Schizosaccharomyces pombe: one gene and its partners. The protein of the gene in region 4 purifies or fractionates together with the protein of the main gene of each other region. This does not show direct contact. Each region holds a gene or a part of one and is shown on either strand. Other genes may lie near its edges. The genes, in order: srb11, med7, med15 and med13.

Evidence for each region.
Region 1: the proteins of med13 (region 4) and srb11 purify together in Schizosaccharomyces pombe (affinity purification with western blotting; 2 studies listed by BioGRID, with this or other methods). This does not show direct contact.
Region 2: the proteins of med13 (region 4) and med7 purify together in Schizosaccharomyces pombe (affinity purification with western blotting; 2 studies listed by BioGRID, with this or other methods). This does not show direct contact.
Region 3: the proteins of med13 (region 4) and med15 purify together in Schizosaccharomyces pombe (affinity purification with western blotting; one study listed by BioGRID). This does not show direct contact.

Annotation. Positions count from the first base shown.
Region 1 is NC_003423.3:2,314,089-2,318,205, reverse strand, and holds srb11 (cyclin CycC-like Srb mediator subunit Srb11), read right to left. Parts: upstream 2,152-4,117; 5' UTR 2,039-2,151; coding exon 2,007-2,038; intron 1,595-2,006; coding exon 1,515-1,594; intron 1,437-1,514; coding exon 1,070-1,436; intron 1,006-1,069; coding exon 798-1,005; 3' UTR 552-797; downstream 1-551. Other genes in the region: thioredoxin Trx2, read left to right, coding at 1-222; SPOM_SPBC12D12.05C (calcium-binding subfamily carrier protein), read left to right, coding at 2,220-2,381, 2,419-3,537; DNA polymerase zeta Rev7, read right to left, coding at 3,730-3,929, 3,999-4,102.
Region 2 is NC_003423.3:4,170,801-4,176,319, reverse strand, and holds med7 (mediator complex subunit Med7), read right to left. Parts: upstream 3,961-5,519; 5' UTR 3,679-3,960; coding exon 3,433-3,678; exon of another isoform or gene 3,367-3,432; coding exon 2,482-3,366; 3' UTR 2,322-2,481; coding exon of another isoform or gene 873-2,321; 3' UTR 532-872; downstream 1-531. Other genes in the region: SPOM_SPBC14F5.10C (ubiquitin-protein ligase E3), read left to right, coding at 1-68; adenylosuccinate lyase Ade8, read left to right, coding at 873-2,321; ubiquitin ligase Doa10, read right to left, coding at 4,835-5,519.
Region 3 is NC_003423.3:994,808-1,000,726, reverse strand, and holds med15 (mediator complex subunit Med15), read right to left. Parts: upstream 4,045-5,919; 5' UTR 3,931-4,044; coding exon 3,857-3,930; exon of another isoform or gene 3,811-3,856; coding exon 3,708-3,810; exon of another isoform or gene 3,662-3,707; coding exon 647-3,661; 3' UTR 552-646; downstream 1-551. Other genes in the region: pumilio family RNA-binding protein Puf2, read right to left, coding at 4,658-5,919.
Region 4 is NC_003424.3:3,094,575-3,100,238, forward strand, and holds med13 (mediator complex subunit Med13), read right to left. Parts: upstream 4,094-5,664; coding exon 4,052-4,093; intron 4,017-4,051; coding exon 501-4,016; downstream 1-500. Other genes in the region: protein mug74, read right to left, coding at 1-311; protein Noc12, read right to left, coding at 4,687-4,845, 4,909-5,256; mtx2 (metaxin 1), read left to right, coding at 5,533-5,664. UniProt on the Schizosaccharomyces pombe protein: Component of the srb8-11 complex. The srb8-11 complex is a regulatory module of the Mediator complex which is itself involved in regulation of basal and activated RNA polymerase II-dependent transcription.

The DNA of each region.
Region 1 (4,117 bases), on a different chromosome or scaffold from region 4:
CCTTGCAAATACCTCAAACCGTTTCTTGAAAAATTAAGCGAACAAAATCAGAAAGCATCTTTTATTGCTGTTAATGCAGATAAATTTTCTGATATTGCTCAAAAGAACGGTGTTTATGCCTTGCCTACCATGGTATTGTTTCGTAAGGGTCAAGAATTGGACAGAATCGTCGGCGCTGATGTGAAAACTTTATCTTCTTTGTTGGCAAAATATCAAGAATAGAATATGGGATATTGGTGTCCCCATTCGTAAATTGCTTGATTTACTTTCTCGATTCAATTTGTTGATTGCACTGTATTATGTCAAAACTAGGTTTTAAAAACTTGACACGGCTTATTTTATTTAAGATTTAAGATTTAAGGGTTTTTACTTTATGAATTTCATTATATAATTGCCGGACCAAATTTGCTGAAATCAAAAATATCCTTTCAGAAATACCTAATAGGGGAATGTTCAACTCAATTAACACAGGAAGCTACAAGAATGAGCTATTTTATAACAACGTGAGTATTTCTATGAGGTGATTAAGGAATAATTTTTGAGGTTCATAGATAAAGCATTAATATATCCTTTACGTTTGTGACATAACCATTCGATTTTGGATATTATTACACAGATACTGCTCTATTTATTCATTTAGACATAACACCATGAACGAGAATGCGTATATAATACACGGTTTTAAACCAGACAACAAAACATAATTTCAGGCATTAATCAGCAATAAAGAAAAATCTAATTATAGTTTTCGTTTTTAACAAAATTTGAGGCTCTAAATGTATAGTGTATTCAAGAAGTTATTCAATATCCTCAAAATAATAAATAGAAATTATGCGTTGAACACATAATATAACTTTGAAGGCATCAGTACTCTTTATTAAATCCAAAAGCTTAGGAATTGTATTTTCATCATTGCAACAACTTATTAATAAAGCGGCATACGCAAGTTGATGAGGATGTGCCATTAAACATAAACTGCTGGCATATGAATCGTTAACAATGCTCCTATTTCCTCGATCGTTAGAAAAATCTAATCGACTGTGATTTTCAATATAAGAAGTATACATACCAAGCAAACTCAAGCTGCTTTTGATTGATAATGCCATCATGAAATGCTTGCTCAAGAGAAGTGTAGGGATGGTGAACAATGAGAAATGCATCAAGGACTGAAATGATTTCAAATTCTATTTCGGAAATATTAGAACGACTAAGTTTAACTTTTAGGCTCCAGAGATCATTAGCCTCATTGCAAATTGTGCGAATGTGAACAGGGCATTCTTCCACTTTGCATGATAAATAAATGCATGTAGCCACTAGCGCCTCCAAAGAAAAACCCTTTTCCTCATTTTTTTTTAGCATGTAACGCCTTAATAAAACGATGGCTGTAGCTAAGACACGCTGCCGAAGCCTGAGCCTGTCTCCAAACGTTTGTACAACTAGAATTGTATCAGCAAAACGAAGTGTAAATGAAATCACAAGCTAGAATAAGCCGAAAAAAATTAATGAAAATATACCTTTCCATTGATATATTGTATCTTTAGATAAGCAAGTTGGTTCCAAAGATTCCAAATCTGTGGATAAGAATAATTGTGTTCTGTAAGGTCAGCTTGAAAAAGTATACTAAGGAATAATAAAGGTTCGAAGATATTTTAAACAAAAACTAACAAAGAGGCTAAAATCGCTTTAAATTAAAGTCAACGAAACGAATGAGAAGCCGAAATAAACTGTGATTGCAAGACATTTGCGCAAAATGACTCAAACAAGATACATCCAGTTTAGTCGATACTCGTGACTAGAAGTAGACAGAAAAGCTATTCCTCTGATCAGTAATTAGACGTAGATCAGCTCACTCGCAAGCCTCAATTTGTCAAGAATATGTTCAGCAGTAATAAAATAGAAAAGCAGATATTCAAAACTCAATTAAGACATTTTAAAGAAGAATAGGAATGAATTAAAGGCCAATTACCTTCTCGTAAAACCTTTAAAATTAAAATTGATAACCTTACAATTGACTAGAGGCCCAGTAATTTGCTGCCATATATCACACGATATTTTAAGCTGATTGACCCTTAAATATCATAAGAGATAATAAAAAACAGTGTCACAGATTTTACTATTTACGATAAATTTTCATGGGCTGCTGGTATGGTCAGATACATTGACCTGTGAGGACTCACCTATTTCTCTTTACCCCGGTACACTCATTACCGGCATGAAGGATGCCAACTGAATTATCTGATATCACTATACAAAGCGTACTTCCATGTGATTATAGTTTGTTTAAAAATAATTTACGGGTTTCAAGGCTTCCAGAATCGCGATTTGTTTTTTCCCCAAAAGAAGAAATAAATTGCCAATCTCTTCTTCAAGGTCCGGAATTGGTATGTTTAATGTAAAAGGATTTTCTTTAACCATTAGAAAACTGCTTTAGATAATTTAAACTTCATTCATAAACAGAAATTTGAGCATCAATTTCGACATGGCTATTGGAAATTGCACCCACATCCGCATCATCAACATGATTCAATAATTCCTGCAAGTTGGATTCATGATACTCCGCATATGAAACTCGTCTTTCATCGTTTACAGAATTTACCTGACGGTGATCTGTTACTAGAGAATGACCCTAAAAATAACGTTGGTTATTTCATTAGCGGAGGGATTGCTGGAATCGTCTCTCGTACCTGTACAGCGCCATTAGATCGGCTAAAAGTCATGTTGATTTCAGACACTGGTTCTAAACCTTCCCCGAAGTATCCTTTTGCTACTTTGCTACATACCACTAAAGTTTTATGGAACCGTAATGGGATACGTAGCTTCTTTGTGGGAAATGGCATTAATGTTTTAAAGGTGATGCCTGAATCCTCCATAAAATTTGGTACATATGAAGCGATGAAACGAGTACTTGGAATATCTTCAAGCTCTGAAAATCATAGTCCTCTTTATTCTTACTTAGCCGGTGGCATGGCTGGTTCAGTTGCTCAAATGTTTATATATCCGGTAGATACTCTGAAATTTCGCATTCAGTGCAGCGATTTATCTCGTGGTCAGCATGGAAAAAGCATTATTTTGTCCAACGCAAAGGAACTTTATAAAAGCGTTGGGATACGGGGTTATTACAGAGGCGTGCTCGTGGGCATACTGGGTATGTTTCCATACAGTGCAACAGATTTGGGAACATTTGAGGGCCTTAAGAGGACATGGATAGGTATCTTAGCAAGTCGTGACAATGTCGATCCACAAGATGTGAAACTTCCTAATGGTTTAGTGATGGCATTTGGAGCACTTTCTGGAAGCACTGGCGCTACCATAGTGTTTCCACTTAATGTCATACGTACTCGTTTACAAACGCAAGGTACGTCTGCACATCCTGCAACATACGATGGATTTATAGACTGCTTTTACAAAACTACAAAAAATGAAGGTTTCCGTGGGCTTTATAAAGGATTGTCTCCTAATTTGTTGAAGGTAGCACCTAGTGTCGCTATTTCATATCTGGTATATGAGAATTGCAAAAAATGGTTGGGCCTAGAGTAAGGCACATTTTCTAACTATTTATAATTCTTATTGGTAGGGACCTTTACTTCAAAATTAATAATTCTTTCATTGATAATGATAATCCTTTATCGCAAAACTGATTCTTTATTTACTTTACCTAATCCCCTCTTATTTCATAGCAGATACCCATTTTTCTTGCACTACATTCTGAAAAGAAAATTAGAGATACCTCTAATCCGAATTTGTATATTTCTCGACCCAAATTTCCGTCATCATTGGTCCAATATCCACATTTCGAACAGGAATGGTGATGCCCTTAAATTGCCTTGTTGCGTCTGTTTCTCTCGCTTGCGGCGGAAGAAACCACTCTTCCCATTGTTTTGGTCTGGGAAAACCATCTTTTAGCGTTACCCGAAGCGTCCAAGTGCATTCTAATTTCAGTATTATTAGAATTGAATTTAGTAATAGAATATTTTTTTAGAAAATAATACTGTTTATACCTTGTTCAATAAGAGGAAGTCCATTTGTTATATTGAGTAATTGGATGAGCGAAGCTCTCATGTATTCAACGTAAGCATCTGTGAATGGCTCATTTGTTGAAATTCTACAATATTGTTAA
Region 2 (5,519 bases), on a different chromosome or scaffold from region 4:
TTATTTGGTTAACTCAACTTCAAGAAAGTTGGTGGTATCGTGTTGGAAGTGCTTGCACCATTGCTTGAGTTTTAATTGTAGTTGAAGTCGCGCGCCCTTTGTATGGGCCATAAAATATAGCCTTTGATTTACTGAAAGGTTATCTCGAAAACGATCAAAATACATCTAATTACCCTATACAAATGAGCACTTAATTCTTGGCATCTGAGAATATCTGGGGTTGATTGTCATGAATATTTCTTTGACCAATTTAAAAACACCCATGCCAATACAGCAAGAATTCTCTTTTTGTTTCACACTTTATTTAATAGTTGATGTTTGCAACTTTTAATATTTATTTTTCTTGATGGTTTTTTGTTTATTACTTTTTCACTGTGAAGATATTTTAATAGTATAATCCAAAATAATTTTGGTTTTCGTTATCTGCTGATGAAGTAGATTTTGGCATTATAGAGAAATTAATTTTCTGCTCTTACTAGTTCACATTTCATATTCACTAGTTTAAGAATACAAGTTTCAATTGACGAAGTGGTCTCTGTCTTTTTCTTACTTAGGCATTGGTTAAAGTAAATTTATAACCCCTTTTGTAATATTGCTAACATATGTGGAAAGGCACCTTTACTCCTCTATACTTGATCTTCAATTGATTTGCTTGGTGGGTTAGGTGAATACTACATATGAAGCATGGAGGCACAATAAATTATCGTTTGATTTTTCATGCGCGTTAACTAATTAATATGGAAATTACAAAATAATAAATCTGATGGTCTTCTCAAGGTGGAGCATTTGTAGAGCACTACTTAGTGTTGGTTCCTCACTGTCCATTCACCACAACAGGTAGAAATTTTTTGGCGAGCTTAAGATTATCGAATATGGAGGATTATGGTTCATATAGTACACCATTGACAGCAAGATATGCTTCTGCTGAAATGTCTCATCTCTTTTCAAGAGAAATGCGTATTAATACTTGGAGACAATTGTGGTTGAATCTCGCCATTGCTGAAAAGCAACTCGGTTTAACTCAAATTACTGATGAAGCTATTGAGCAACTTAAAGCGCATGTCAAAATTACAGCTCCAGAATTTGAAATCGCTGCTAAGGAAGAGAAGCGTCAGAGACACGATGTTATGGCTCACATCTATACATATGGTCTTGCTGCTCCTGCTGCTTCTGGTATTATTCATTTGGGTGCTACTAGCTGTTTTGTAACCGATAATGCTGACTTGATTTTCTTACGCAGCGCCATGGATCTTTTGATCCCTAAGTTAGTCAACGTTATCAATCGTCTTAGCCAGTGGTCTTTGCGATACAAAGACATTCCTACTCTTGGGTTTACACATTATCAACCAGCTCAATTAACTACCGTTGGTAAGCGTGCCACTCTTTGGATTCAAGAGCTTTTATGGGATTTGAGAAATTTTGTAAGAGCTAGAAATGACATTGGTTTCCGTGGTGTCAAGGGTACCACCGGCACTCAGGCTTCCTTCTTAGCCCTTTTTGAGGGCGATCATGCCAAGGTTGAGGAATTGGATAAATTGGTTGCCAAGCTTTCCGGTTTTGATAACGTTTATCCTGTAACCGGCCAAACCTATGATCGTAAGATCGATATTGACGTTTTGCAACCATTAGCTTCTTTCGGTGCTACTGCTCATAAGATTGCAACTGATATCCGTCTCCTTGCTAATTTGAAAGAAGTAGAAGAGCCATTTGAGGCTGGTCAAATTGGCAGTTCTGCTATGGCTTACAAGCGTAATCCAATGCGTTGTGAACGTATTTGTTCTCAAGCTCGTTATATTATGAACTTGATTCCTAATGCTCTTAATACTGCTTCTGTTCAATGGTTTGAGCGTACTTTGGATGATAGCTCTAACCGTCGTTCTCTGTTACCTGAAGCCTTCTTGTTTACAGATAGCGTTCTTAAGATTCTATTGAACGTTATTTCTGGTATGGTCATTTATCCTAAGGTTATTCAAAAACACATTCGTGCTGAATTGCCCTTCATGGCCACTGAAAACATTATCATGGCTATGACTAAGCACGGTGCTAGTCGTCATGAGTGTCACGAGCAGATTCGTGTCTTGTCTCATCAAGCTGGCCGAGTAGTCAAGGAAGAGGGAGGGGATAACGACTTAATTGAGCGTATTAAGAATACTCCTTATTTTGCTCCTATTTATGATGAGCTAGATTCTTTGTTGGATGCATCCACTTTTGTTGGACGTGCTCCCGAGCAGACTGAATCCTTTGTAAATAAGGACGTCTCTCAAGCGCTTGCGCCTTTCAAGAGCATGATCACTGAGGAAAAGGTTGATCTTGCCGTTTAAATATAAATTTTGGTTTGCTTCGTAGTGGATACGAACTTTTTTGATTTGTTTAAAATAGAAAGAATACATTTTTTTCATCGTTAGTATGAATTTTTGTTTGTAAAACAAATATTAAAAGCAGAGGAAATAGCAAAATAACTCTACTAGATAAACCGGTTTATTAGCTAAGATCTCGTTTTATCACGTCTTCCATTAATTCAAGCGATTTTTTTAATTTCTCGTCATTTTTTGAGAACATAGACCTAGACTTTTGCTCATCTTCAGCGCCTGACAATGGCTTTTTTATTGACGACTTTAATTGTTGAATCACATCTCCTTCCTTCTCCATATTAAAATCTAATGATTTGTACTTTTCCAAAGTTTCGGTCATTTGCCGGTTATGAGTACGTAATAGCTCAACCTGCGACTCTTCATGTTTTAATTGTTTTTCTAAAAGCATAATTAAAGATTCACGAGATTGGTGTGGACGATAGTCATTAATTAAATGATGGAGATTGAGCAGCAACACCCTAATGTTTTCAACCTTAGAAGGAAACTGTTCGGGTGCCTTCGCCATAATCCCTAGGAGTTCAAGAAAGTTAAGCATAAGTGAGCGGGATAAAAATCGTAGTTCATAAGCTCGCCGGGGAATTTTTATCAAATCACTCGTTTCTCCATCCTTTGATTTTTGATCTGCCCGGAAACCTTCGTTTACCGAAGAAGCTGAAACAGCTCCAGTATCTTGAGAATCTAAAGGTTCCTTCATTTGTATATCCTCCTCTTCCTTTTTAAGAGAGGGCTCAGTCTTTTCCTCGACATCTTTCATTGTCTTATCAGATTCATTATCTTTTTCTTTCATGGCCGTATGTTGATCATCCTCCAGAATTTTTTCATTTTCAATTGGTGAATTTTTATCATAATCGTGTACACGAGTAAAACTAGTACCAACTATCGCATTGGATTTAGGATCATATTCTACCACTTCAATTTCATCTTCTCCATCTTTTATATCTTTATATAATTCAGGGATTCCAAATTCTTTGAGTGAAGGTATAGCTTCGTCTAGCTATAAGCGATATAAGTTAGTGAGAGATGAAAAGCAGCTAATGTAAAACAATAAAAATAAACTTACCCTCCATGTGTCACCAAACATTTGATAAGTCCCAGATGTGAGACATGACGGCTTCTTAAACAGCTTGGCCAGCGACTCTATTTCTTCTTCAGTCTTAGGTTGTAAAGTATTCGCGTCATCCTCATGTTTTGCTTCTTTCTCCATATTTGAAATTACTTTTTCTATGTTTTCTCTTGTAAATAACTTATAATATGGAGGTGGAGGCGGAAAAGCCGAAAACAGTTGTACTCCTTCGTTTGGTTCCATTCTCTTTTAGTTAAATAGTATTTATCGTAAACTAGATTTTAGATTGATGTAACTGTCTTCCCTTTTATCGCTGATTCTTAGTATAAAAATGCCTGCTCTTTTTTTTTCTTTTTTTTTTTAGAAAAGCAGTTTCTATAATGTTAAGAAAACCGTAATTGAACAACGATATGACGCTCAATAACTGATTGACATGAAAATCCTGAATATAAAAACACTTGAAAATAACCGATCTTTTGCTCAAAATGGATTTTGGAATAGTCAGTAAAAGTGGGTAGTTTTATCTGGCATATGGAATACGAAGTGAAAGCTTCTATCACCAATAAATTTTGCTATAAATTGTTTATTTCGATATCTTTAATCATTCTTGGTTTTAAATTAGTTTCACTGATTAAAGTAGCTTAAAATTATACACTTCTTGGCTTTTTTAATTTTTAGAGAATTGCAGTGTTTCTTTTAACAACACTGAATTATTCTTTTTAATAAATGGGCTTGGAAACGAATTAAGTAGGAGTTTATTACTTGTAATATTACAGCTTATCGCTATTGTTGAATGCCATAAAATCCTTAACATGAATATTTTACTAGGCCAACATAATCGTAAAATTTAAATTGATTAAGTGATAAAGTATTTTGATATTCCTCTATACGAAGGATTAGTTAGTATTGAATGGATTACAAAATCAACACATGCAATACTACGAACTTTTACATTTTCATAAATTTGTCACATAACCGTAGTAAACATATTTGTTATAACTGTTTCTTTTTAGTAATTAACTAATTTATCCATTGCTAGTGATTGTCTGCAAATTTTCGCTGCTACGGTTTGATACAGTCATCAGATACATCAAAGAAATTCAACGATAATTGATATTTGTTCAATTTTGTAAAGAAAATTAAATAAATAGCACCATATCATGATAATACCAGTTACGATAAATTGGATAAGATGCCTGGCAATATAACAATAACAAACCAATTGTTCAAACGATGACTTTTTGTAATTTCCTGCAACTAAACTAACAGTTTCGTAGCAATTAAAACAAAAACATCATTCAAATAATATACATTCACAATGCTCTATATTACTTCAGATGTCCTCGCTCCAGTTTTCCAAAGAGAAGGATAATCTGAAAAATAGTAGATGACTAGACTTTTATTTTTCGGCAGACTCAGAAATGGCTGGAGGAGCAGATTCGCCAAAGTTGTGCAGTCTCGTACCAACTAAGTATAAATCATCACGTATTCCTTGCGACCATTTACTACTAGTTTCTACAAAACGGCGCCCCAAGAGTGCTAGCCCAAGTAATGCTAAAAATATAGGATGCATCAACCGATACATAAGGGTTTTAGATGCAGAAGGGAAAATGGATGAAAGAAAAGGATAGGTTACGTAAGTAAAAACACTTGGCAACACAACGGCGGCTATTAAGGCTGATGTAAAAGGGATGAGAACATTTTTTAATAATGGAAGAATTTGAGGATTCGTCCATCTATCACGAAAAGCATCTTGAAACAACCTTGAAACGAAACGCTCTTCATTAGAAGTCACAGTAAAATATATCATACGAAGCATAAAAAGACCAATCACCCAGTTTTGGAATGCATCGAGAGCAAGAGTCCCTCTGTTAAATATCGTTCGGAAAGGTATAGCGACGTATAATTCCCATATAGCTCCAAGTAAGAGTGGTAAGATAAATATTCCAAGGAATGCTAATAAAAGATATTTTAACGCCATTACTAAGCTCCTCATAACAATTTTTAAATTTAGTTTATTCATAAGGCTTCGTAAATAGTCAAGTTTCAGAAACTTAACAGACGCGTGAATTGCATACATTGGA
Region 3 (5,919 bases), on a different chromosome or scaffold from region 4:
AGCTCAATAAATTATCGGGAGTTTTGAAATATTAATTTGTTTTCTCATGTTAGATGGTAATTCGAGATAGCTATTTGGCGGTTAGGTTAAACCAAAGCTCTTGAACCAAAGCAAAAACATAAACTGATAGCTACTTTTAGAATATTTGAGATAGTAAACATTAAAAACTATACAAATATTCATTTAAGAGATTACAAATTAATTTTCAACACCAACCGGTGCACTAATAATAAATTAACTAAAATCAACTTAAACGTATGAATAAATAAAATTTGTAACGGTCCTCATTATACCGACATTTTCATGTTCACAATGAGTCTCATAGACAGGTCATTAATCGGGAAAAAGCCATACTTTCTGGCATTGTGCCTAATAAAGGTACAACCGGATCTTCAAAATATTAAATTCAGGTTCTATTTTTATCATTGTATATAAACACAAGGACTATACAAACCTTTTCCCAATCACAATTTTCAACATAACAGATGCTTTCAAAAAATGGAGAAACGTTGAATAAACAGAGAAACAATATATGTCTATGGTATTCATAAGATATTGTAGAAGGACAAATATGTCCAATTTGCTTTTTGAGACGACGTGCAATAAATAAATAAAAAACAATTGCGAACCATCGTATCACAAAATTTTAAATCACAACTTGCCATATGTTTGTAGATGTTGGAAATGCGATGTTGTCTTCATCTTCGTTACCCACTTGAAGCTGCTTTAGCAAAACTTTCTTTTCATGAAGCATTTCATTCCATGGATCTTTATCGTCGATCGCTGGATCTAGAAAACATGATTCATCAAAATTAATTTGAGTAAGCTTATTTTGCATTTTAGTCTTATCTTTATCTGCATCCAAAGCAAGATTCATGGTATCTGGTTCCTTTAAAAATCCGATTTCAGAGTTGATTTCATTACCTAAATCAGCCCAAAGCTCCGAATCATCATTAAATGAAAATTTTCCGTCCAATGACAAAATATTAGATGGACTAAGTGAGTTTTTGTTATCTGTAAATGATAAATCTGGAGTTGACGGAGGAATGAAAAACGACTGAGGTGTTTTCAAAATAGAACTAGGAGTCTGTGATGATTTGATAGCAGAAACTTCTTCTTCATGGTCTACAGCCACAAATGCATCGATTGCGTACTTCAAAGGATTAGCAATTGCTTCTTCCCGAGCTTTAGCCATTCCTTCCTCTTTGGCTATAGTACCTGGAGAAACACTAGAAGGTATTTCATCTACACTTGACATTATAACATCAGGAGTATTTACGACTGAATCCTTAGGTTTTTGAACTGTCGATAAGTTTTCTATCTTTTTCTTCTTAGAAGGCGGTAACTTGAGATCTTCTGGTTTTAAACCATGTTTCATGACTTGTGATGCAATCTTCTGTTTGGCTTGCAAATCCGGCTGAGATACATCCAAGGATTGGAATGCAAGTTTACTGTCAACAGGAAAAGATGTGTTACCAACAGAATTTGCTTTGGCTGCAGGTTGGGCTTGCCCAGGAACACTGGGTTGCGCATTAGGAATTGATCCATTGATAGGACGTACATTGGATGATACAGAAGGAGCTTGAGGAAACTGGGAAGCCTGTTGTTGCTGCTGTGACTGTGGCTGTGGCTGCTGCTGTTGATTAATAGATGCAGTACGGAGCGAGGAGATATGGGCAAGAGCATTTTGAATACTCATATTATTGTTATTTACTTCATGGTGAAGTCTTAACAGTTGAGCTTTCACAAAGGCAAAATAGCGACTGGTTTTCTCCTTAATCTTGGCCAATGTTTGCGGAGCACAAGTAAAAACACCTTGCTGAAGACCTTCAAGTTGTAATTTAAATATATGACGCATTTGTATCAATTGAATCGTGGCTTCCTCATTGCCTGTCAAACAGTAAAACAGGCAAATCAGTTGATTTGTACGGCTAAACATAGGATATGCAGATTTGATAAGACTCGCAATCATAACCTTTTGATCATGAGGCAAATCAAGAGGCACTGGCCGCATCAAACTATGCATTACTCTTTCGGTGAGTTCTCGAATACGCGAAGTCATCTTTTGTTGTCCCATAGTTCCTCCACACTCAAGCAGTTGCTGAACGATAGAAGCACTACTATTTCCAGCCGCTAAGTTTGTAGGCCTTGAAGCAGCGGTGTTTCTTGCACCACTAAGAGGAACTGAAAGTGCTTCATTCCCCGCCTTCGTAAAAGCTGAAGGAGGACTTGCAGAACTTCTAAATGTAGACGATGTATCAAGATTAGGAGGTAGATTATTTGAATAGTCGACCTGAGATACAGGCGGCTGAGTGGGTTGAGTAGCGTTGCGAGCCTTATTTGTCAAATAGCTTTGATAATTAGTTTTGGCGGCATTAGCTGAAAGCTTTGTATTGATCGGTTGTTGGCCATTTTGTGAAGTAACAGAAGCACTTGTAGGATTAGAAGTACGGTGCAACTGCTGTTGTTGTTGTTGCTGTTGCTGAGCAAATGCTTGCTGCGAGAACGCTTGGGGGTTGCCCGTATTATCAGGTTGTGGATTCCCCAGTTTATTGGTATTAGGGGCATTTTGCGAGTTCATTCGAGCATTCTGTATTTTATTAAGCTGTTGCTGTCGGTGCTGCAAAATAATTTGTAGGTGCTTTCTATATAGCATACCTATTAGCTTCAATTGTTCCGGAGGTAAACGCTGAGATTGTCCTAATTCTAACACATCTCTCCATATTTTGACATTTGGAGGTAAATTAGGAATTTGATCGAACAATTGCTTAGGAACCGGGATATTTAGCATCTCAATATTTATACGGTTATTATTCGTAGCATTCACATTAGGATTATTTGGAGGAGCAGCAGTTCGCTGAGGTTGCTGTTGCTGAGTAGAAGGTTGGTCTTGTGGAGACATACTTTGAAGAGACTGGGCACCAACGTTACCTTGAGGGTTTGGAAAAAAAGCATTTTGCGGAGCTTGCTTTTGTTGTTGTTGTTGTTGTTGTTGTTGTTGTTGTTGTTGTTGTTGTTGTTGTTGTTGTTGTTGTTGTTGTTGTTGTTGTTGTTGCTGCTGTTGTTGCTGCATATGCTGCAATGAACGAAATTTTTGAATCTGGTTTTGATATATTGAAATAAGTCTCGCAGGTGGCATCGATTGTAATTTTTGCATAGGAATTGGTGGATTGCCATTCCTTGCAAGCAAAGCTGTAATTTGATTACATAAATTATTTAACTGTTGTTGGGTCAATGCAGGAACTATTCGACCAGGAACACTACCAGATCTTTGTTGGTTTGCTTCTGTATTGGGAGCTGTTGGTGATGAAGCTTGCGGTTGTTGTGTTTGTTGAGGTTGTTGCGACTGCTGCTGTTGCTGCTGCCTTTGTTGCTGGATTTGAGATTGTTGAAGTAAAAATTGCCTTTGTTGTGGGGTCAACTTCATATTTCTAGCAAACTGTTGCATTCCTGCTTGCATTGGAACATTTTGGTTTTGAAGTCTCGGCATTACTCTGGGATTATTTGCCAACCTGTTAGGTCCGGCAGTAGGGAGAGCTCCAACATTACCCGCATTGTTATACACAGAAGGCATTTGTTTCATTTGGGTTGCCTGCAATGTGTCACGTATTTGATCTCTCAATTGTGCTGTCTTCTTGCCACATGTAGTTAAGTATTCATTCTATTACTGGTAAGTACAAAATTAATTGAATTTTTTTTTTCAATACCTTGCTACTGGCACCATCAAAAGCCTGACGCTCAAATGACAAAGCCATATTCATGAGTTGGACTTCGGAAATTGAGGGAGAGATAATTCGTAAAGTTTGAGCACTAAATACAAAAGTTAGATGAAGGGTTTTAAAAAATGATGGCATACATTTGCAAGGCAATGCTCTGTCTCTCATTAGGACGAATTTGTGCTTGCCATCCCTTATCAACATTCCGGTTCATCCCTCCAAATATATGATCTATAAGACGTTAGTGAATTATTGTACATTACTAAAAAGCGTACCAGTTATTTCTGATAATTTTGCAAATATATTTATTGCAACGCTGATGGTCGGTGGAAGACGAACTTAAGTTACCGTACACCATATATCAGCGCTGATCGTCACAAGGTAACCAATACAGTGGTTTGCTCACAGCTATCGATGATAAGCTAAATCACGGTCGCTGATACATGAGAACACGTTAAAATTCATTATTTAGTATAAATCTAAGATAGAAATAATCTAAAGCAACAGCATACTTGTTTATCAGAGGCTGGTAGATTATGCCAGTCTTTAACCTTATCCTACTTCAATATTTGTGTACCACAATTTCGTTAATATATATTATATAATAGCTAAATGTAAGTGTAGAGGATATTAAACCACCAAAATAACTTTTCAAGTATAGTTTAAAGGCGTAACGTTTCATTAATAATAAAAACAATAAACTGGACTGAAAATAGATATCAACAGAAACAAATGGTTTTTGCTCTTAGATTACTGGGGAGCGAAAAACTCTCCTTTTCTAAGCGATAGTTGTAAACGTTATTATAATCATCATAATGCTAACTTCCTGGCTCTAAATAAAAGATATAAACTGTTGAATATATATCAAAAATAGTTGAATCCTTGCTTGCCATGAAGAAAACCAAAATTTTTTTCTCATAAATGTTCGATAATGCAGTTATTTACGCACATACCTCAGCCAGCTTTTTTAATTCAGAGGATCCGCGATCCTCCATAGTGCCCAATACGTTTCGAACAGCACTTTGTAACTGTTGTCGATGCGAGGCTGATATATTTTCGTGAGTCAAGAGTTTGCAAATAAAAGACGGACCATAAGTTTGTTCGAAAAGTATTTTCTCTAAAGAGTTTGGATTGAGATCATTTTGCGTATCCAAAATAGCATCAACGACTAAATCACCACAAGCAGTATCACCTTGTGATATGGAAATTATTTTAAGAAGGGAATTATAAGCTAGTCGATGAGTGCAAACTCTAACAATGTCTTGAACAAATCTCCGGGTTAAAAGAATAGGAATATGAGGATAGTTCATATTTTCAACAAGATAAGTTAACAGTAGCGTACCATTACCGTTCATAGCTAAGTGTACGGAATAGACTGTTATAGCAGCAGCAACAAGTACACGTTGTTCTTCAGTCACATCAGGACTCTCTAAACAGGCGCGGACGGCACGTGATCCATAACGGCTTTGAGCAATTACCCAAAACTGGTTGAGAATGGCTTCAAAAACAAAATCGTTCATTGGAGCACCAAATTTCAAGCATGTTTGCACAACATAGTTGCCAAATTGATCAGCAAAAAGTAGTGGAATGTAGGGCTGCAAGTGTTTAGCAATAAGGCGCATTTGTGCCTCAGTTGATGCCACGTCAACAATCTTTTGAGCAGCCCATGTACCGTTTTTGTGAATACCAATTTGGGCCAAATGAGGAGCGATGCGTTCAAGCATCATTTCCTTTACGGGGTCTGAACAATAATCGAATAGCTTTTGTACAACGGTGTTACCAAGATGATCGCTCGATAAGTCTGATACTTCATCAAGCCAATTAATGGCAATGTCTTCAACTTCTTCCTGAGTGCAAAGACCATTATCAATACGCTTACGAACTTGACGAAGTTTGGGTGCATTTAATCGACGACTGCTGAACGCTTTTGAAATAGACGGAATCTGAGCAGCAAAGTCAGTCAATTCACAAGCAGCGTTAAGAATCTGATAGATTTTAGATAAATCCTTAAATCCGAATGACTGAACAACGTTAATCAAATCGTCGTAAACCTCACGTAAAGAGGGGACGAACGAGACGTTCGAAAAGGCTTTATTTAAGCCGTCAACGGCAGAGTGGGAAGACTCAGAAGAAGATGAAGCAACTTTAGCAAAGCTGATACAAACTGGATCGGAACCAAAAAATATCCTTTTGCCATTGAGCT
Region 4 (5,664 bases):
CTAGATTTATCTAAATGGGAAGTTTCATTAGGCCAAATACTCCCATTTGCTAATTTTTTTTCAACTACTGTTTCTCTTGGTTTCAAAAACGAAATTTGATCCGATGTCTTTTCGTTTAGAAACTCTTTGTTTGAAGAAACAACTAAATCTAATTCCTTCAACTGTTTACATAAGATTGAGTTTTCCTTATCTGAAAATAGCTCATCTTTTACTTTGCATTCCGACCTTTTAGTAAAAACCAAATCGGTTTCAGGTTGTTGAGATATTTGGTCAATCTTAAAACACTTAATTGAGGACTTATGTTTCTTCATTATGTTTTGCGTTGGCTAATTTCATGGTTAAAAATGGCGGAATATGAAATAGTCGACAGTAAACAAACACTGTGTTTTCACTATGTCAACCTTCCCAATCTAGTAAACAAAAACGATAACAAGAGTAAACCAATTTTGGCACAAGCGCATTATAAACTTATACTGTATAAATTAATAATACCCCAAAAACTAAGAGGTCACAGGATGTGTAATGTCTGATGCCATAAACTGCAATAGTTGCTTCTGGTATAAAACGGTAGAAATGTGTAATGGGAGTGAAGAAAAAGAAACATACGTTCGAAACTGTAAATAAATCATACTTAAATAATGTTTTAAAATAAGATTTAACATTAAATAAGGATCATGATTTCGAGATATCAAAAGATGAATGCTTAACAGTGGTAAATAAGATTCGTCCTCGTCTAATGCTAAGTATCCTCTAGCTAAGATTGTAGAAATTTTCTTAAATTCATCGTTCGGCACAGGCATTGCCATTTCTCGGATAAACGCAACCAAAGAGAGCTCATGACTACTATTATTACGAATAACTGTGCTTGAAGCCGAATATGGAATCCTTGAAAACACTTTCGAAGTTGAGCCAGGTCCGTGCTCTGCTGAGCAGTAACCAACTGTAAGAGAAACATTGCCTTGTAAGTTTTCAGGTATTATTGCTTGATCCCAAAACAGATACTCTGCGTCAGACATCTCACCAATCTTCATGACGATTACTATCCAATCCATGTGCATTGAGTTAAGGAACGTAAATGTGACTTCTAAAATTTGCTGTAAAGCATCTTCAATTTCAAGGTCTTGGAGAAAATAGCGTCTCTCAGTTTCAAATTCTCCATAGGAATCATTCCAATTGCAAATAAGCAAGTGCTCTTCGACAGTTGTATACGTTACATGTAGCGCATACTCTCCCAAAGCTGAAGATCTGGGATTAATATCTTTAAGCTGATAGTTAAGAGTTGATAACAAGGGCTTTTTCAGGAGAAAAGCCGGTTCACGTCTCTTTAATGAACCATCCATCAATAAAGGATCATTATTATAAATGTCGAGTGAAACTTTTGTAAAAAAAGAGTTCGAATTTGTAGTATGCGAGTTGGGTGAATCAAAAATAGAATTCGGAATCGTGCATATTCGTAATGATTTATCTTCAAATTTATTATCCCCAAGTCTCTTGATTGAGTCCTTTACGCATATAAAATGTTGACAAGCCTTTAAAAGTTTTTCGGAATCATCTTCTAAAAAATAAAAAAAAAGTACGTTTTTTCCGCTTAATTCATTAACACAAACACTCGCTAGTTGTTCATAAGAGGTTGCTGTATCGCTTTGAGTTGTTTCATTATCATCATAATTATCTGTTTCATTAATATTTGTACTGAATCCCATCACTCTTTCGTTAATAGAAGTTTCAGATAAATTCAGTTTTCCAAGTTTGCAGTTTTCATAAGCCAGCTGAACATCATAAAAAAAGCTGATAGCCTTGCTGCTTACGTCGGGAGATTTGGAAGAGAGCAAAAAAACTTCAAAATCTTTGCTCTCACCATACGGTTGAAGACATAAAGATATCCAATTCTCTGGTGCCGAAGAATCTAAAGACAACTTTTTTTCGTTGTATTTGAGCAAAACACGAGGAGGTTGGGAGAAGTTTACCAACGTTTCAGAAAAGTTAACTTGGGATGGAGGATTGTCATTTAATGCGTGATGCCCGTTATTAATCGAGGACAGATAATTTTCTGGGCTTTTGCTCAAGAAAACAGCCGAACTTTCACCTAACAATATTTTCTCTAAATAATCCCTAATAGGCTTCCGCATGTACGAAGAAAAGTTTAAAACATCTTGAGACATCATGAAACTGGTAGTCATGCTTTTCCAAAAAGGTAACGATCTAAACCATAAGTTTTGAGACAAAATAGCGTTTAACAAGTCATTTTTTCCCAAGGTAATAGTGGGTTGTAAATCTAACGATTTTAAAAAACTGAAATCAAAATTTGCTGACTTGGATTCATTCATAAGAACCTGATGTGCTAACGATAGCGTATCATAATTTGAATCGGGGTTACTTTGTTCTGAGATATTAGTGGGTGTTTTAGAAGATGAAAAAAAATCGTGATTATACTCCATTGTAAAATCTTGTTGTATAAAGTTTGTAGAGCAGATGTCTTCATCTGTACTAGTTACCGATTCAGCGACCGAAAATGATTCAAATAAATCTTCAGTTGACAAAGAAGGAGAAGGGCACCAATATTTACCACCATAGTTATACTTCTGAAAAATACTGGAGATAGACGAGGGAAAAATTACCGCAGAATAGTATGAAGGCATATACGCAGATGTAGGGATTTTAGAATCTGAAATATTTAAAGAAATTTCAGGAATATCAACTTCGACGTTGTATGGATTTAAATCTTCGGTTACCATTCTATCATCCGATTGAATTTCCATTTGCTTTGGAATATTTTCGTGAGTATTCAAATTTGGACTGGTGTTTGATTGAGAGATGGAAGTGTTGATTTCCTCATTATCTAAGGTTGTCATAGTATTTGCAAAATTAGGCTCAATCATCTCAACTTTTTCTTCAACGTTAGGTAAGTCAAAGTAATCAAAATCAGCCTCTGTTATTCCAACATCGTCTATTTCCTCCATTAGTATGTCATCTGAAACATTATGATCAGCAACAAGTATCTCTTCATTTACTTTTATTGAAGCAGGTGTAGATTTTGCAGAATTTATCGAATAATTAACGGGAGAAGAACTATGAGAAGGAACCAAGGTTACAACGGCATCAGCAGTCTCTTCCTTTTCTGTAAAACCTTCTTTTCTTTTATCTGAAGCTTCCGCTTCTTCATTTGCGAACTCAGTTAATTCCTTTTTATTGTTTACGACGTTTGAAGGGAGGACTAGGTTATTCAAATCTGTAAGGTTGCTAGATAATGAATCATCATTCATTCGAAGGGCCGACGTTTCCAAAAAGCAAAGTTCTAAAGGCCAGGAAAATTCTAATGCCGAAGATTCTAAGGTAACACCCACCCACTTTGAAGTAGTCGTAAGAGAGAATCCATAGCGGTGTTTCAATGCATCAACAGTTTGAGCAGATGCGTTGGCATGCACAGAGGTTAATGTTGCCAAACAACCAGTCGGGGCTAAACGAATGACAGTGTCTAACTTTTTAACCAAATTATCCACTTCCGACAAACGATATACCGTCTGCCTTGTAGGCTTTAAGTAAAATTCTATATGGCCTTTCGATAAGACAGAAAGCTGTAAATCCACAACAGGATATCCATATATGTTCCAGAGCTGGGTATCGAAAGAAGGGTGTAATTTTAAAGGAAGAAGGACACCATAAATTGGAACAAAGTTGTATTCTTTGCACAGCCAATACAACACCGTTTTTTTCAATCCTTGAAGAAAGTTTATATACAGGTCTAATAGAAGAGCTAATTCATCTTTTTGAAAAAGAGCTAATCTGGAAAATGCACCTGAATTAAGTAGCATAAAAGAAGATGATTCCTCAGGAATAGATGGAATGGCTTGAAAATCATATACAAAAAGTAAGTCATTCTTCGCGTGAACAATGCAATCCTGATTTCGTAGATAAGCTTCTTTGTCTTCTAAGAGGGAAGCAGCATCCTCATTGTCCTTTCGCTGAACCTGATACTTCGCATAATATATAGTGTTAGGGCAAGGCTGATCAGTTAGCTTTTAATTTATCATGTTATAATAGAAATAATTACAATTGTTTTAATACTAATTAGATGAACTCCATCATGTACCATGGCAGAGGATAATGGCAGATTATTATATAAGAGGAAGTAGCTAGCGTACACGCGTAAAGAAAGCACATGCGGCCACTGTCTCATTTTAACATATTTCTTAAAACACACCTGATACTTTTACTGTTAATAATAAAATAAACAAACATTAAACTAACGGTTTAGTATGCAAATAAGCATAAATGCTTCGAAATTGATGAAGGAAATATATACTGACATATAATGTTTATATTAATCCCGTAATGACCGCTATTTTAATAAAAAAAGAATGCTCCGCCTTAAATTCCTATCCTTACTTTACAAATAATTAAAATGAATGAAAGTGTAGCAATAAAGGTCCAACACAATTGCAACTCCTTCAGGTAATATGTATGAACCTATCCCTCAGTATAATGTTAGTTAAACATTACATTCCCTTAAGACTCCTCTTGAATGATGGTTTAAACAACTCATGAGTGATGGCATCTGAAAAGTGAACGAGAAGATTACAGAGAAATTGGGATTCCCCAATCAGTTTTAACAGATACACTCATTGCTTATAAAGTTATAATAAGAAGGAAAATTTTTAAATAAATAAACTAGTTGTCAAGCGTTTTTTACTCATCATCCGAATCGACATCAACTGAATCAGAATTTTCAGACGAACTTTTTTCGATTTCGGTTTCATCTTCTGACTCAGTGTCTAGAGCACGAGCATCAAAGCTGTTTTTAGAAAAGCCCAATTTTTTGGCGAACAAATTCAACTCATTTGCAAACTAAAACAGAGGATATTAGAACCTTTTGAAAGAAGTAATTAAGAAACATCGATATTGACTTACAGCATCAGTCCCATCCTTCTTGGGTTGTTTACGATTGGGTTCTTCGAATTCCAACTCTTCATCGCTTTCTACATCTTCAATCAGCTCCAGATCCTCTTCGGTACCTCCGAGTTCTTTAATATCATGGAGTAAACCATACGATTGCTTTCTTTTCCGATTCGCTTTAGGCTTTTCCAATGATGATTTGGGTTCCTTAGGACCAACGGAACTTTTATGTTTATCAATAGTTTTGTTTTCCTCTGTTTTGTTTTTTAGTGATCTAGCAGAAGAATTTTCCACAACTTTTGAATTTTTTTTCATGTCCCTCTCGACGACATCCTTGATATCTGAAAATAAAGACAAATCCATATTATGATTTATGTCAAATAAAATAAATACAATCTTTTGTCGAGTTTATCGATTATTAGAGGATGTGAAAATCCAACGCAAAATAGAAAAGTGTGTATGCAGAATTAATGCTTGGTATAGTAGAAACAACAGAATATTTTCTCCTACTACAATATAGGTAGAAATTTGAAGAAATTGCACGCTTTACCACTTAATCTAACAATTTCGCTAAGCACACTATTGATGGTATTGGTGTAAACTCTTTAGAATTAGCAAACTTAGTGACAAGTGAAAAGGATGGGCGGTCTAACAAAATTTTCGAGTTATTTTCATTCCATTTTCTCCCGCTTCCCTTTAATAACGTTTTCTAATCCTTACCCGGGCGAAAATGAAGATTACAAAACGAAAACAGTCATGTATTTGACTATG